2 linked regions of the Drosophila melanogaster genome follow. The protein of the gene in region 1 interacts with the protein of each later gene in a pairwise test. Each region holds a gene or a part of one and is shown in the gene's direction. Other genes may lie near its edges.

The links.
Region 2: the proteins of CG14717 (region 1) and Fnta interact in a two-hybrid assay, tested with the Drosophila melanogaster proteins (one large-scale study listed by BioGRID).

What each region holds. Positions count from the first base shown.
Region 1 is NT_033777.3:11,691,910-11,699,849, forward strand, and holds CG14717 (uncharacterized protein), read left to right. Parts: upstream 1-4,599; 5' UTR 4,600-4,736; coding exon 4,737-5,657; 3' UTR 5,658-6,418; downstream 6,419-7,940. Other genes in the region: Fer3 (48 related 3), read right to left, coding at 1,664-2,112, 2,179-2,317.
Region 2 is NT_033779.5:4,826,545-4,832,232, reverse strand, and holds Fnta (farnesyl transferase alpha subunit), read left to right. Parts: upstream 1-1,539; 5' UTR 1,540-1,625; coding exon 1,626-1,764; intron 1,765-1,832; coding exon 1,833-2,193; exon of another isoform or gene 2,194-2,253; coding exon 2,254-2,749; 3' UTR 2,750-3,019; downstream 3,020-5,688. Other genes in the region: Ir25a (ionotropic receptor 25a), read left to right, coding at 1-229, 301-816, 872-1,265; CG15628 (uncharacterized protein), read right to left, coding at 4,661-5,060, 5,133-5,608, 5,670-5,688.

The sequences.
Region 1 (7,940 bases):
TGATAGGGAATGTGGGTTGTATGATTGAAATTTATGAAGTCAGGCAAACATGATTGTGGACTTTTAAGCTATCTTAGATAAGTCCGAACACACTATTAATTCGCACAAAAAGAGTGAGATACGTTGGCTCCCGACTTGCTCACTGTTTATTGGATAGTTAAGTAGCTTTGAAAACAGATGCTATTTTTGATCCTAAATCCCATCTATCATGATCTAATATATATTGGATTCTGCCCTAATTGAGTTCGAAAAATGTGTCGAAAAATTGCCAAAAATGCCAGAAATTGTAGCAAAATTCAATTAATTTGTCATACCTATTTGACATGCAGTGCACAAGGGGAGGAATGGGATAGTCAATATCAGTCGATGTATGGACATAGGGGTTTTCAATGGGATGAAGTTAATATAAGCCACGCGACAGGGTCTAGATACAATATTTTAAAGCTCTATCCAGGTTCCCACACCGCAGGTGCCGGAAAGATCAACTTTAGAAGTTAAGATCAGCATATTTATTTATTTGAAAGAGTTTACTAACGCGCTAATCGGTGACACGTGAGCACAATTCATAGGCGAGGGGATGTGGCAAACAACCCCGAAGGAGAAGCTATCTAATTCGGCATGAAGTGTCACAAATTCATCAAAACATATTGTACACCAAACTACCAAAACATTGGAAACAAGGGACGCAGTCAACCCCCAGGTAGCAGCCCACTTTCCGACTTCCGATCCCAATGTCCATGCAATATCCGTTCCGAATTAATTTGCTGCCCGGAAAAAAGGGCGCTAATCTGTTCGCGATGGGCGTTGAACGCAAAAATTCCTTGGTATTTAGCCCGGTTGCGGGGAATCCCTCAAGTGTTACACTTGTTCCTGGGTTGTCCTTGGTTAGGGGTTGCTACAATTGACTTTGAACTGCCGTCCTCCCTTTTGGCATCTCCCCTCCGAGTGCATCAATTTATTAATAATAATTTCACGCTTTGTTTGCCTTGTCAAATTTTGTATAATAGTTTTCTTTCCATTCGTGATTTGTATGCAATGTGACTTCATTGGGACCACCGAATGGACCTGGGCATGTGTTGCCTTTCCAGCTGCACAAATTCGCACGCAAATCACGACATGGTTCGCTTTGGTTTTGGCTGGGTTTTTTTTTTTAAAACAAGTGCGGGTTCTACTTAGGGGGATTATCAGGTGTACTTCGGTGGTACTTTTGGCTTTAAAGTCACCACCCAGTTTAGACAATCACTTTGTTTACCATTTCGAAAACTAAATTGGATTATCCACTGATTTTGTTTAATTGTCCTCTCCTTTTCCTTTTCTATCACAAATAATAATAATAATAACTGCAATACAAAAAATATCTTTTTACAGTATCCATTTAAGTGCAAAAATTCAATGTTCTGGCTAATTTAATTGCTCCCATGAATATAAATTCTTGATGTTCATGTGACCAGTCATAATTCACTTTTTAAAGAAATTACATTTGAAACAATAAATTTCTTTCTTTTTAATATTTTTTAATATTTCTATTGCTTTTTAAACAATATATAAAGTTTTAAGAAAACATTATTTATCTATTCCTATAATTACAATATTTTAACAAAACTGATCTGACGAGAAGCAGTTTTAGCATTTATTTGAATATTGGATTTCCTGAGAAATGTCACTAGGACAAACTATGATTATAGGGCGAAGCGAAATCGCGTTGATATGCCGCCGCCGGATGCAGATGATGTGGATGAATTGCCGGTGGTGGCGCCTGATGGTGACCATTCATACTCCCATAGACGTCGGACCGCGATTTGTGGGAGTTCGAGGGCGTGCCGCTCAGCAGCTCAGCCATGAATCCGATGTAGGTGATGGCCAAGCGAAGGGTTTCGATGCGGGACAGTCGTTTCTCGTAGGCGAAGGTGGGCACCTTGCGGCGCAACTTGTCGAAGGCCTCGTTTAGGTTAAACATGCGACGGCGTTCGCGGATATTTGCAGCTCTCCGTTGGGCCATTGATGCCACACGGCGACGCGTTTTCTTCGAGGAGCTGGAGGAGCCGTTGGCCCTCCCATTTGTCGACGGACGCTGGGGCACCAAAGGAGTTACTTGCGAGCGCTGCCACAGAGCTTTAGAATAGAAAAACATCTTAAGCACTTCCATTCCAAATTCCAAATTCCGTTTGAGGTACTTACACAAGTCGGTGCAGGGAAAACCGGCGATGAGCTCTTGGTATGGAACAATGGGCGGCGGTGGAGCCTCCTGACCCCAAAGCGGCTGGAATGGAACATCCGGCATGTAGGTGGGCTGGTCAATGGGATGTGGATGCTGCATGACTGTCTATTGTATTGGATGATACTGCAATTGGAAGACCTTGGGTCTGTTCTGCTTGGAAGACTGTGTTGCAATAAATTCTGATTGTCCTCACGGGCTGCGAAGTCAGCTCGGTGCTGTTCCGAATTTTGCTTATTGGATTTTCCTCCCCGGCGGATGGCAGCATCTGCTTAGAGGCCATTTTGGATTGGCAACAGTTTGGTGCGATCCGATTGGTCGTCCTTGCTGGGGGGTTGTTGAGGTGAAATCTGATGTTCTGACTTTCAAATCTGATTAGATCAGGCATATCGTACTGAATAAAAAAATTATTTTTTTTTAACCAATTTGCAGATTTTTTGATAATAATCTATTGTTACCTATAGCTAACCAAATGAATTGAACTGGATTAAGACTAATACTTAGCACGCTCAAATAACCGGTTTACGTATATTTTGGTATAGGAATACAAATTTTTAATTTATTTTTTACCATAATAACATATTGTATAAATTCAAAAATAGCTGTGCAGTTCTTGACTGTGGCAAAGAGAACAAGCATTCCAGAATATTAGAATATTATTAGAATCCTAATATTAGCATATTAGAATATTATTAACTTATGTCAAAGAGAATTCTTAGTTACTACTCCAACCCTCGAAACGGTTATGTGCTGCTGGTGGATGTCTTGAATATTATACACAGTGCTTTCGAGACAGCCGTGACACGAACCGTTTTCGGAAAATAACCGGTTAGCAACTCGGTTTTTAAACCTGTCACAAAGTTCTTTTAAATTTTAAGTTTTTTAGTTTTGTTAATTAGAAATTCTCTAAGGTTATATATATTTAAAAAATGTTCTGCTTAGTTGTATTCAATGTCAAATCATTTATTATTTAAGTTATTCAACCGAAATAGCATTTATGCCGTTAGTCTCCTCCAATCTGTTGCATGCATTTGTTTTTGTTTATAAGTGACTCTCTGGGAGTCCTGCTGCGTATTCCGCTCTCCTGCTGAATAGGGTTCAGTGCACCTGCGCGGATAATTACGCCGGCTTTTTGCTCCCAATCGGAATCTCTCTAAGATTTTGATGCTATGGAGATGAAAGGCATTCCCCCAATTCGGGCAAGTATTTAGCCGCGTGGCAACAGGACAGCGTCCAAGGCTTAGAATGGAATGCGCTGACAGACTGAGGTAATCCTTTGATGGGAATTCGGAGGTCTGATTCCCCGGGGGGTCGTATCCAGCATTCGGAGGATTTCATTGTCGCTAAACTTTTCAATGGGGCTGATTGGAAAAGGGGCAAAACACGACTTCAACTGTGGGTTTGCATTCGAAAGTTCGTTTTTATGGCTCCAAATGAGGTTTCCAGTTTATTTATTTAGTTCGTTTTATGTTCTTCCAAGCCAGCGGAGTACTACTCAAGGGTGCTTCATTGTGTCAATAGCCTGAAATTGGATATGAAGTGCCTTCGATACTGTCAAACAGTAAGACAGACAGCTGCCATGAAGTGTACCCACTTTAATGGCTAAATCGAAGTTCAAAAGCGAGGGATTCCGGGTAAAAATAGTTTGAAAATTTGCATTCATTTCTATTCCAGCCATTAGACGGCGTCCGTTGGCTTGGTTTTCAAAAACAAACGAACTTCATCTTACGATTTGTGCACCAAAAAAAAAGAATATTCAAGTAACAAGAAATGTCTCAGACCATTTGTTTGTCTCTGTGTCTGAGCACTCGCCAAGATTTATGCCCTCTGTGATGGCAAACTCAGCGCACTCACATTATGAAAATGTAAAAATGTAAAATATGAAAATGTGGAAATTTGAATTTACTCCCCCTTCTCGTAGAGCTGTTTCTGCCATTTCCTAATTTTCCACGCAAATGCATTTTATTTATTACGCAATTTGGGGATTTGCACTGCCAGCCGCAATTGTAAGCGACATAAAAGCGCTTAGACTCCGACTCCGGAGCGTTAAACGAAGCATTAGCCCCAGTGGATTACGGCTAATACCATTGTGTCCCGAGACGACGGACGCTACGGGGCGTATACGGAATATCCCAAGGTACAACTCGAGATGTTGTCTGAAATAAATAAATATGAGAATAAAAGTGTTGCTTTTATGCAATGGCAAGGAATAACAACCGCATTGATGTATGCCATTACGATATTTTTAAACTGAAAACAACACAACTACTATGATAGTATTGATTTGATTTATTCTTTGTAACATTCGATAGAATTCGTTTTAAACTGTCAATAGAAACTGAATAAATCAATGTATGCCAAGTTTTAAAATGTAGCATGATTTCGTTTGAACTTTTAAATTGTAGAGATTTCTCTGAATTTCTAGCAAAAAGAAATCATTTTTACATGGATAACAAAAGAAAACCCAGCTTTTAATGTAGTTCCCTGCAGAACTGACAGCTATTCTAAATTTTCGGAAACCATGGCAAGACAGCGACTTCTCGGCTCGATCCTTTCCAAAGGCGGAGCCCAAGTGCTGCGAAACTTCCAGTCATTTGTCCAGGGCACTCGTTTGGAGTATGTCTCCTACACCTCGCCGCGCAATCAGATGCAGGCGCCACCAATTGTGGTGATGCACGACCTCAATCTGTCACTGGAATCCTGGCGCCAGGTAGCTGTTAACCTCAGTCAGGTTGGATTGCGCCAGGTGATCACCGTGGATGCTCGGAATCATGGCCTTAGTCCTTACATAACCGGGCATTCGCCAATGCACCTGGCCGCCGACGTGGAGGCCCTGATGAGCCACCAGAGACTGAACAAGATCGTTGCACTTGGACATGGAATGGGCGGTCGGGCAATGATGACACTGGCACTCACTCAGCCGCAACTCGTCGAGCGGGTCATACTGGTGGACATCACACCAGCACCGGTGCCCAGTAACTTCTATCTCACTCGGCAGGTGTTCGAGATGATGCTCCAGGTGGCGCCCAGTATTCCCTCAAATCTATCACTTTCCGAGGGGCGTACGTTCATCCTGCCACTGTTCCAGGATGTGGTCCACGACGCCTCCGAGCTGCGTCGCATTATTTACAATCTGCGCAAGATGCAGGACAACACCTTTGGCTGGGCAGTTAATCCCCAGGCGGTCCTAAGCTCCTGGGGGGAGATGATGATCAATTACGAGGCCACTTTGGGCGGACTGCGTCCCTACATGGGCGAAGTCTTGCTCATAGCCGGTTCCCAGTCGGAATTCGTGACCACGACCAGTATTGCCGTGATGCAGAGATACTTTCCAAATACAGTGGTACAGATTCTGGATGCTGGACACTGTGTGTATGAGGATCAGCCGGAACAATTTGTTGAACTAGTCGTGGAGTTTACTCAAACATGCTTAGTATGTTGAAGAAACACCTATTTGGTTATCGTTTAAAGTGACTTTTATATAAAATTGGCATTGCTATATTGGCTGATATTTCAGCACTCAATATACTCCACCGATAATTGCGCTGTCAGCAGAATGGAAACCGCAGAAAAAAAGGGCTGAATGGCATGACCATTTGTGGCGGGCGGGCTGTTGCCAAAATCGATGGGAAATCAACGTGGCAGGCAATCGAACCGATACCGAGTACCCGATACAGGTGCTCCAAGTGGAAGCCAGGAGGTTTGGCACACAAAGGCCAATCCCTCAACCCGCCAATTTGCCAATAAAGCAGCTGAAGACGAAGGTGAGGTGAAATGCGCCACAATGCGATACAATTTAGATTTATATGCTTTGTCTGATTTATTTGTATTGGACGTGTGGGCGATGGAGACGTCTGTCTGACTGGCTTTTGTGTGTCTGCTCGTGCCTCAAAAGTCGATAATCTGTGTCCCGGCGAGTGGGGTGCTCATCTACACCTCGGAGCAGCTCTTATTGCTGAAATTGAGTCATGACTGAGATTTGAATGTGCAAATGTACACAGCAGCAGCGACTTGAAGTTGTTTGCCCAAACTCCGTGCCTTTGTTCTGGCTTTAATGAGGATTACGTGAAATTTCATTATGCTTCGTAATAAATAAGTAGCAAGTCAAATAAACAGGGACTGGCAAACACACACACATTCCCACACACTCCGCAATGAATGTACATACCATCTCAACTGGATGTGCGTACGCACTACGTACCGAAACCATATTAAAATTTAGACACGTACACATTTTATTGCTTGTTATTTTGCCTCTATGTGTGGCAGCTGCATAAGCCCAAAATGCTGTGGCACTGTGGCACTGTGGCTCAACTTCCAGGGTTTTCTACTCCCATTCACATCTATGTTATGAGGCCTGCGGTCCTGACCTTAACTTCACCTGGGAGATTTGATAAAACAATATTATTTCCTGGAAATAAACGAATTACCCCAGCTGAATACATACATGTTTAAAACTATTTCAGCGTTAAATGCTTAACAAAACCAAATCTATGAGTATAAATGGCTATAATTGCTGCTGATGGACTTGGGGTATTATATCCTTATAAAGCCCCGTGCCCCGTAGAAGTGCAGTATAATACAGTTAAATACCTAAGTGCACTCATTCCATTAAAATGGATTGCAGCCTATGCTGAATGCGTGCAATTCATCTCAATTAAATGTGTATTACATTTTATGAATATTGATTTTCAACGCCCCCCTCCATTAATTCGACTTTGTGCGGGATGCAGATACTTCATACTTCATTGGCAGATATGTAGGTGGATAGGTGTTTTCGATACCCAATGCGCACCTGCACCTTCCGATTCGTGTCAGTTTATTCAGGTAGATTGCTGAGCTGAGCTGAGCTGAGCTGTGCTGCGTGTTTACTCTGCTCCAGCAGGCAGCCAATTCATTAGCTGTTCCTACTTCGCCTTTGCTGCAAATGGAAGGAAAGACAACATGAATGCTGCACACAGTGCGTGTGCACCGAGAGATGCTGATGAAGAGTCATCCCTTTTGGCCACACCATAGAATAACCGAACGCAGCGTAGTCATACATATACCAGCTTATATTCCGGGCCAATTGCTTTGCTGCGCTTTTGTCTTTTCAATTACGGACGAGCTTCAAAGTCAAACTTTTGTGCAATTATACTGGAAGACAATTTGCCCTGTCTCGATTTTTATGAGCGCACAAAAAGTTTTCCACCAACGGAATAGGAACTTTTCCCCGGCAACAGTTTCCATTTCGCTGTTGTTTTCCCTTCAAGACAGTTGATTTTTAATTTCGTGTCGGCGGTTCCCAGCTTCATTACTTCATTTCAACGGGGGAAATATTTGACGGGTTAAAGCAAAACTTTGCCGCTCTGAAGTAAAGCTGCTGCTGTTGAAGATGCTGACCCTCCTCCTTTCTTGGAAATGGACACCACAGCAGCGGGGGCTGCTAATGAAACAGGAGCTTCCGTACAGGACACCGGATCCGAGAACCCGGAATCTGATGATAAGGTCAGCGGACTTGGTCGTAAAGAGGCGGCGGCCATAAAAGCCAATTGCTGGTGAAAATGTTGTTTCCTTTTTTTTTCCCCCGAACCGAGCTGGCGACAAACGTGGCACTTTCGTTTATCAGGGTGGCCGGCCTTGAGTTCGGGTTCGGGATATTAATAAACATGTCTTCAGAGTCCACGCTCCGTTGGCAGGACATTATTCTTGACTGCCCTCCAATTCGGGATCCTTTGTGGGGTTA
Region 2 (5,688 bases), on another chromosome or scaffold:
TCCTGGCTGCCTACTTCTTTACCAGCTTTCTCATGTGGATCTTCGATCGCTGGAGTCCCTATAGCTATCAGAACAATCGAGAGAAGTACAAGGACGACGAGGAGAAGCGCGAGTTCAATCTGAAGGAGTGCCTCTGGTTCTGCATGACTTCATTGACACCTCAAGGCGGTGGCGAGGCTCCAAAGAATCTGTCTGGCCGTTTAGTGGCCGCCACCTGGTGGCTATTCGGGTGGGTAGTTGCTCTTCATTTGCTTGTAAACTCTTTCCTTTTTAAAAGAGTTTTTTTGTTCTTCCCTTAAGTTTTATCATTATTGCTTCGTACACGGCCAATTTGGCTGCCTTCTTGACCGTATCACGTTTGGATACGCCCGTTGAAAGCTTGGATGACCTGGCGAAGCAGTACAAGATCCTATACGCTCCATTGAATGGCTCATCTGCGATGACATATTTCGAGCGTATGTCCAACATAGAGCAGATGTTTTACGAGATTTGGAAGGATCTGTCGCTGAACGACTCCCTGACCGCCGTGGAGCGCTCCAAGCTGGCTGTTTGGGATTATCCAGTGAGCGACAAGTATACCAAGATGTGGCAGGCCATGCAGGAGGCGAAGCTACCGGCCACCCTCGACGAAGCGGTGGCCCGGGTTAGAAATTCGACAGCTGCCACGGGTTTTGCCTTTCTGGGCGATGCCACCGATATACGCTACCTGCAGTTGACCAACTGTGATTTGCAGGTGGTGGGCGAGGAGTTCTCCCGGAAACCCTATGCCATAGCTGTTCAGCAGGGATCGCATCTCAAGGATCAGTTTAATAATGCGTGAGTAATGGGAAAATATAGATGTGAGCTTCTTCATATCGTTGTGGTGCTTTAGAATCCTGACCCTGCTCAACAAACGACAGCTGGAGAAGCTCAAGGAGAAGTGGTGGAAGAACGACGAAGCTCTGGCCAAGTGCGATAAGCCGGAGGATCAATCGGATGGCATCTCGATCCAGAACATTGGCGGCGTCTTCATTGTCATATTCGTGGGCATTGGAATGGCCTGCATCACGCTGGTCTTTGAGTACTGGTGGTACAGGTACCGCAAGAATCCGCGGATCATCGATGTGGCCGAAGCCAATGCGGAGCGATCCAATGCTGCTGACCATCCTGGCAAGCTGGTCGATGGTGTGATCCTTGGCCACTCGGGGGAGAAGTTCGAGAAGTCAAAAGCTGCACTGCGTCCGCGCTTTAATCAGTATCCGGCCACGTTTAAGCCTCGTTTCTAGAATTACTCGTATACCAATGAAACGAATATTATGGTAAAATGAGCACTCGGATGTCTACGTCTAGTTTTAAAGAAATCAGTCACTTTGTGCACTTTTATTGAACTCTTAATAAATGTTTAAACAAAATAATTGTAAAACCTTTGTATTTATTATTTTTGAATTTCAAATAATATTTCAAAAGCCGCTGGTATTTCTAGTTTAGTATTAAATACCGCCTTCTGCTATCGAGAAATCGACACCGATAGGTTCGGACAATAAAACGCCCCCGATATCGATAGGCCCGATAAATTCGGACAAAAAAGAACAACATAAAATTCCGCCCGCACCCGCGCTCAACAGTTTTGTTTTTAACTAACCGCGATGGGAGACAGTTCAGATGAGGAATATCTGGGCACGGACTGGCTGGCTTACAGCGAACGCTCCGACTGGGAAGATGTGCAACCGCTCGCCCAGGACGACGGTCCCAATCCGGTGGTGTCCATTGCTTACAGTCAAAAGTGTGAGTAATGCATGCGGCTTTATCTCTGGATGTCACTTTATCTGAGCAAATATCTCCGTACATCGTAGTTCGCGAGGTCTTCGACTACATGAGGGCCATAATTGCGCGGGGGGAGAAGAGCCAACGTGCCTTGGACCTAACCACGGACGCACTGCGTCTGAATCCGGCTAACTACACGGTCTGGCAATACAGACGCGACGTTCTGCGCGAACTAAAGGCTGATCTGTATGCGGAACTGGACTATCTGACCGAGGTGATTGGCCAGAACTCGAAAAACTACCAGGTTTGGCACCACCGTCGCGTCATCGTCGAGATGCTGAACGATCCCAGCAACGAGCTGGAGCTTACTGAGAACGCCCTGGTCAACGATGGCGATGCCAAGAACTACCACGCCTGGCAACATCGCCAGTGGGCCATTCGCAGCTTTAAGTGAGTAGTCGTATGTTTATTAAGATTTACTTTCTATAAATTAATGTCCACTACTTTTAGTCTCTATGACGATGAACTTAGCTTTGTGGATCGTCTCATTAGCGAGGATCAGCGCAACAATTCGGCCTGGAACCAGCGCTTCTTTGTGATCAAGCATTTTGGATTCACGCCGGAGCTGATCCAGCGCGAACTGTCGTACACGATGAATCGCATTCGCATCATCAAAAACAACGAGAGTGCCTGGAACTATTTGGTGGGCGTGATGCGGCAGGGCGACAGTGGAAATGCCCTGCTGAGCAGCTACCCGGATGTCGTGGACTTTGTGGAGGAGCTCTACCAGGCTGGCAATCGATCGCCCTACCTGCTGGCCTTCCTCATCGATCTCTACCAGGAGCAGGCGCTCCAACTAAAGGCCAGCGATAGCGATCAACTCGCCCGCAAGGTGTACGGTCTGTGCGAGGACATGGCCACCAAACACGATGTGATTCGTCGCAAGTACTGGCAGTATGTGGCCAACCATCTGAAGAACCAGCTAAGCACGGTCGAACAGAAGTAGCAGCAGTTGTCCAGGTTACAAATCCATTATTGCTTAGTTTTAAGCCACATACGACGTACTTAGGCCTTCTTCTTTATACATAAATAAAATTTAATTTACCGTCAAGTGAGCTGAGCGCCAAGAATGTTGCAAAACCCCAGTCACATACTACACATTGCCACATGCCCTGATGGGCGGCTGTCTTCATCTTTGCCGCGCATCCGTCCGACTCTGTTTATCTAAGTGAGCTGTTGTGTTTGCACACGTAAATTTCATTAACAATGAGCAGATAATTTTAGCGCAGTGTCTGCGCCAGCTGAGGCCAGTCGGCGGCTAAAGTGAGCTTGTAAATTATGCAAACAATTAATATTTTTAATGCTGGACTTTAGCAAGAGCTTCTGTTTTGTTTGCAAATGAATGTGGGAAGTATCGTAAATACTCAAGAAAATATTTCTAGAGCAAAAACTATCTTTACCTTCAGCTATCTGCGTTTAGTTGCCATCGCAATCGTTATCTTTTTCGTCAGAGACGGAAAGAACCTTCAGTGTGCTGTCTCAATATTGTTATTTATTTAAATTTGCTTCTTTTAGGTTTTTGTGTTTGTTTTTTTTTTTCTCATTCGTTTTTTAGTTCGAGTACATACAATATAGCAGTTTGTAATATATAACTTTTCATTTAATTTGATTTTCTTGCATACATATTGAGATTCGGTTTTTGCATTTTCGTAATCGAAAGCCACCAAAGATGATCCAGATTCTCATCGAAAATCATCCAAGGGGCCAGTGGGAATCAGGAATTGGTAATTTGGAATCGGGTTTGGGGGCTATGTACTTAAAATGAAGCAGAAGACATCTTTGGCGTGTTTTTTATTTCGTTTGTTTCTTTTTAGTTCAGCTAAATAGGAGCAAAATCATTGAGTACTCGTTTGCGTAGTTTAATAAAATTTCGTAATAGTAAAATATATATTTATTTTGTATTTTTGTTTGGTTTTCGCTTCGTTTCGTATTCCCTTCATGGGGTTTTGGGTTTATATGTATATATATAAATTTGAAAAAAGCCTATAAATCCAAATATGTTTGGTTGGTACGCGACCATTTAAAATCAAAGCACTTCGTTTGGGTCATCGAAAGTATTCAATATAGTTTGAAAAATATATATATGTAGTATTCTGAAACGGCTTCTTTAAATAGAGGAAATTGTGCATAGCTCTGTTCCATGGCCCAAGCGAGAGATTTTCGTGTGTTTTTCGGTTTTCGGTTGTTTCGAGATTATTCGAGATTATCCTGTTCAGAGATTTTGCGTGGCGAGCCAGTAGAGAGAAGTAGTTGGTGTATGTTGCTTGTTTAGTTCGTTTAACAATTTGATATATAGAGTTAATATATATAATAGTTTTAATAAATTGATGCGCTCCTTGATTTGCATTTGCATTGAGCCACCCCACTCGGCTTTTGTTCTCTGCTCGTTCTTGGAGCTCACTTTTGTAAAAGCATTTTTAGCAAAAAATTAAAAATGTTCTCTCTTTGTCCTCGATTCCCCATTTAAAATGTCTGACTTCAGCGCCTCACTTGATCGTTTAAATTCCCCTGGTTAAGGTTTAGTTCTTGTCACCGAATCCTAATCAATACCCATATAAAATAAATCCCTTGATTATTCTGGCCGAAATATCCGCATTCACCAATCGACGCCGCCGCTTTTTTCTGTTTGAGGAAGCTTCATATACCATCTATAAATATACTCGTACAATTTCTTGGTTTTCTCGTTAATATAATTGTTTAAAAAATCAACGCCACCTGATGTGTGCCATGTCCTGTCTGTCCTAAAGAGTCCTAATGGGTGCTTACAGCTTTAAGCATAAGTTCTGCGTGGGCGTAGCGCTCCGATCGATCTCTAATCTCATTCAACTCGCATCTCGTATCCCTAACCCAACCTGGCCTACTTGTCCTCCCCGATGCCCTCGTCGGTCGTGGTCTTGCGCTCCCTCGCCTCGTCGCCGCTGATATCACATTTTTCAGCCAACATATCCTCGATGCCCTCGTCCACCGTCTGGCTCTCGCCGGGCACATGCTTGCGCCGCAACTTGGTCACCACCACGCAGTCGCCCTGCGGCAGCGGCGGAAACTTTCCGTAGGACGTGTTGCTAATGGTGCCCACGGTGCTGTCCTCGTAGCAGTCCGGTGTCATCCGCACTCGGCACGTCTCGAATGCCTTCTCGTAGCCCAGCTTCGTGTACAGACTGCGGGACGCATCGTTACCAGGACGTATCACCACGAAGGGCGTGTAGCCGCGCTCGATCACCAGTTGGGTCAGCGACTTGGCCAGACGGATTCCATAGCTGTGCGAAAATAAATGCATTGTTTGATCAGTAAATGAGCAGTTTACAGAAGGAATCTGTAGCTCTACTCACCCCATGCGCCTGAAGTCTGGACGTGTTTGCATTGAGAACATGGCACCGTAGTATGAATGGACCATCCAGGCGGCTAGCTCTCCGGTTTCCTTGCGAAAGATGCCCAGGCCGGGTAGCTTGCGCACGAGGATGTCAAACAGCTGGACGCACTCGATTTCATTGGCAGGATATAGATCATGTATGCCCTGCACGTTATCCAGATTGAGCAGACGCATCTCGGCGTCCTCCGGCAGCGGCTCCAGTTCCAGGTCGGCGTTCAGCTTGTTGCACACGTAGATATCACCACTGAGTCGTTCCATCACACCGAACTTCGAGTAGAAGTCATCCAGGCGATTCATAATGGCGATGTGCGTAAAGTTCAGGTACATAGGCTTCTGCCAATCTATAAGTACATCTTCGGTGCGCAGCATATCGACATGCTCGATGTGTGCGGATGGACAAAATATGCCTAGCGTTTGGTATATATTGTTGTGCGGCTAAAAGATATAGTTTATTAGTTAAACTAGGTCTTAGGGATGACCAAAGGATCAAACTCACCGCAAGCGTGCATCCTGGG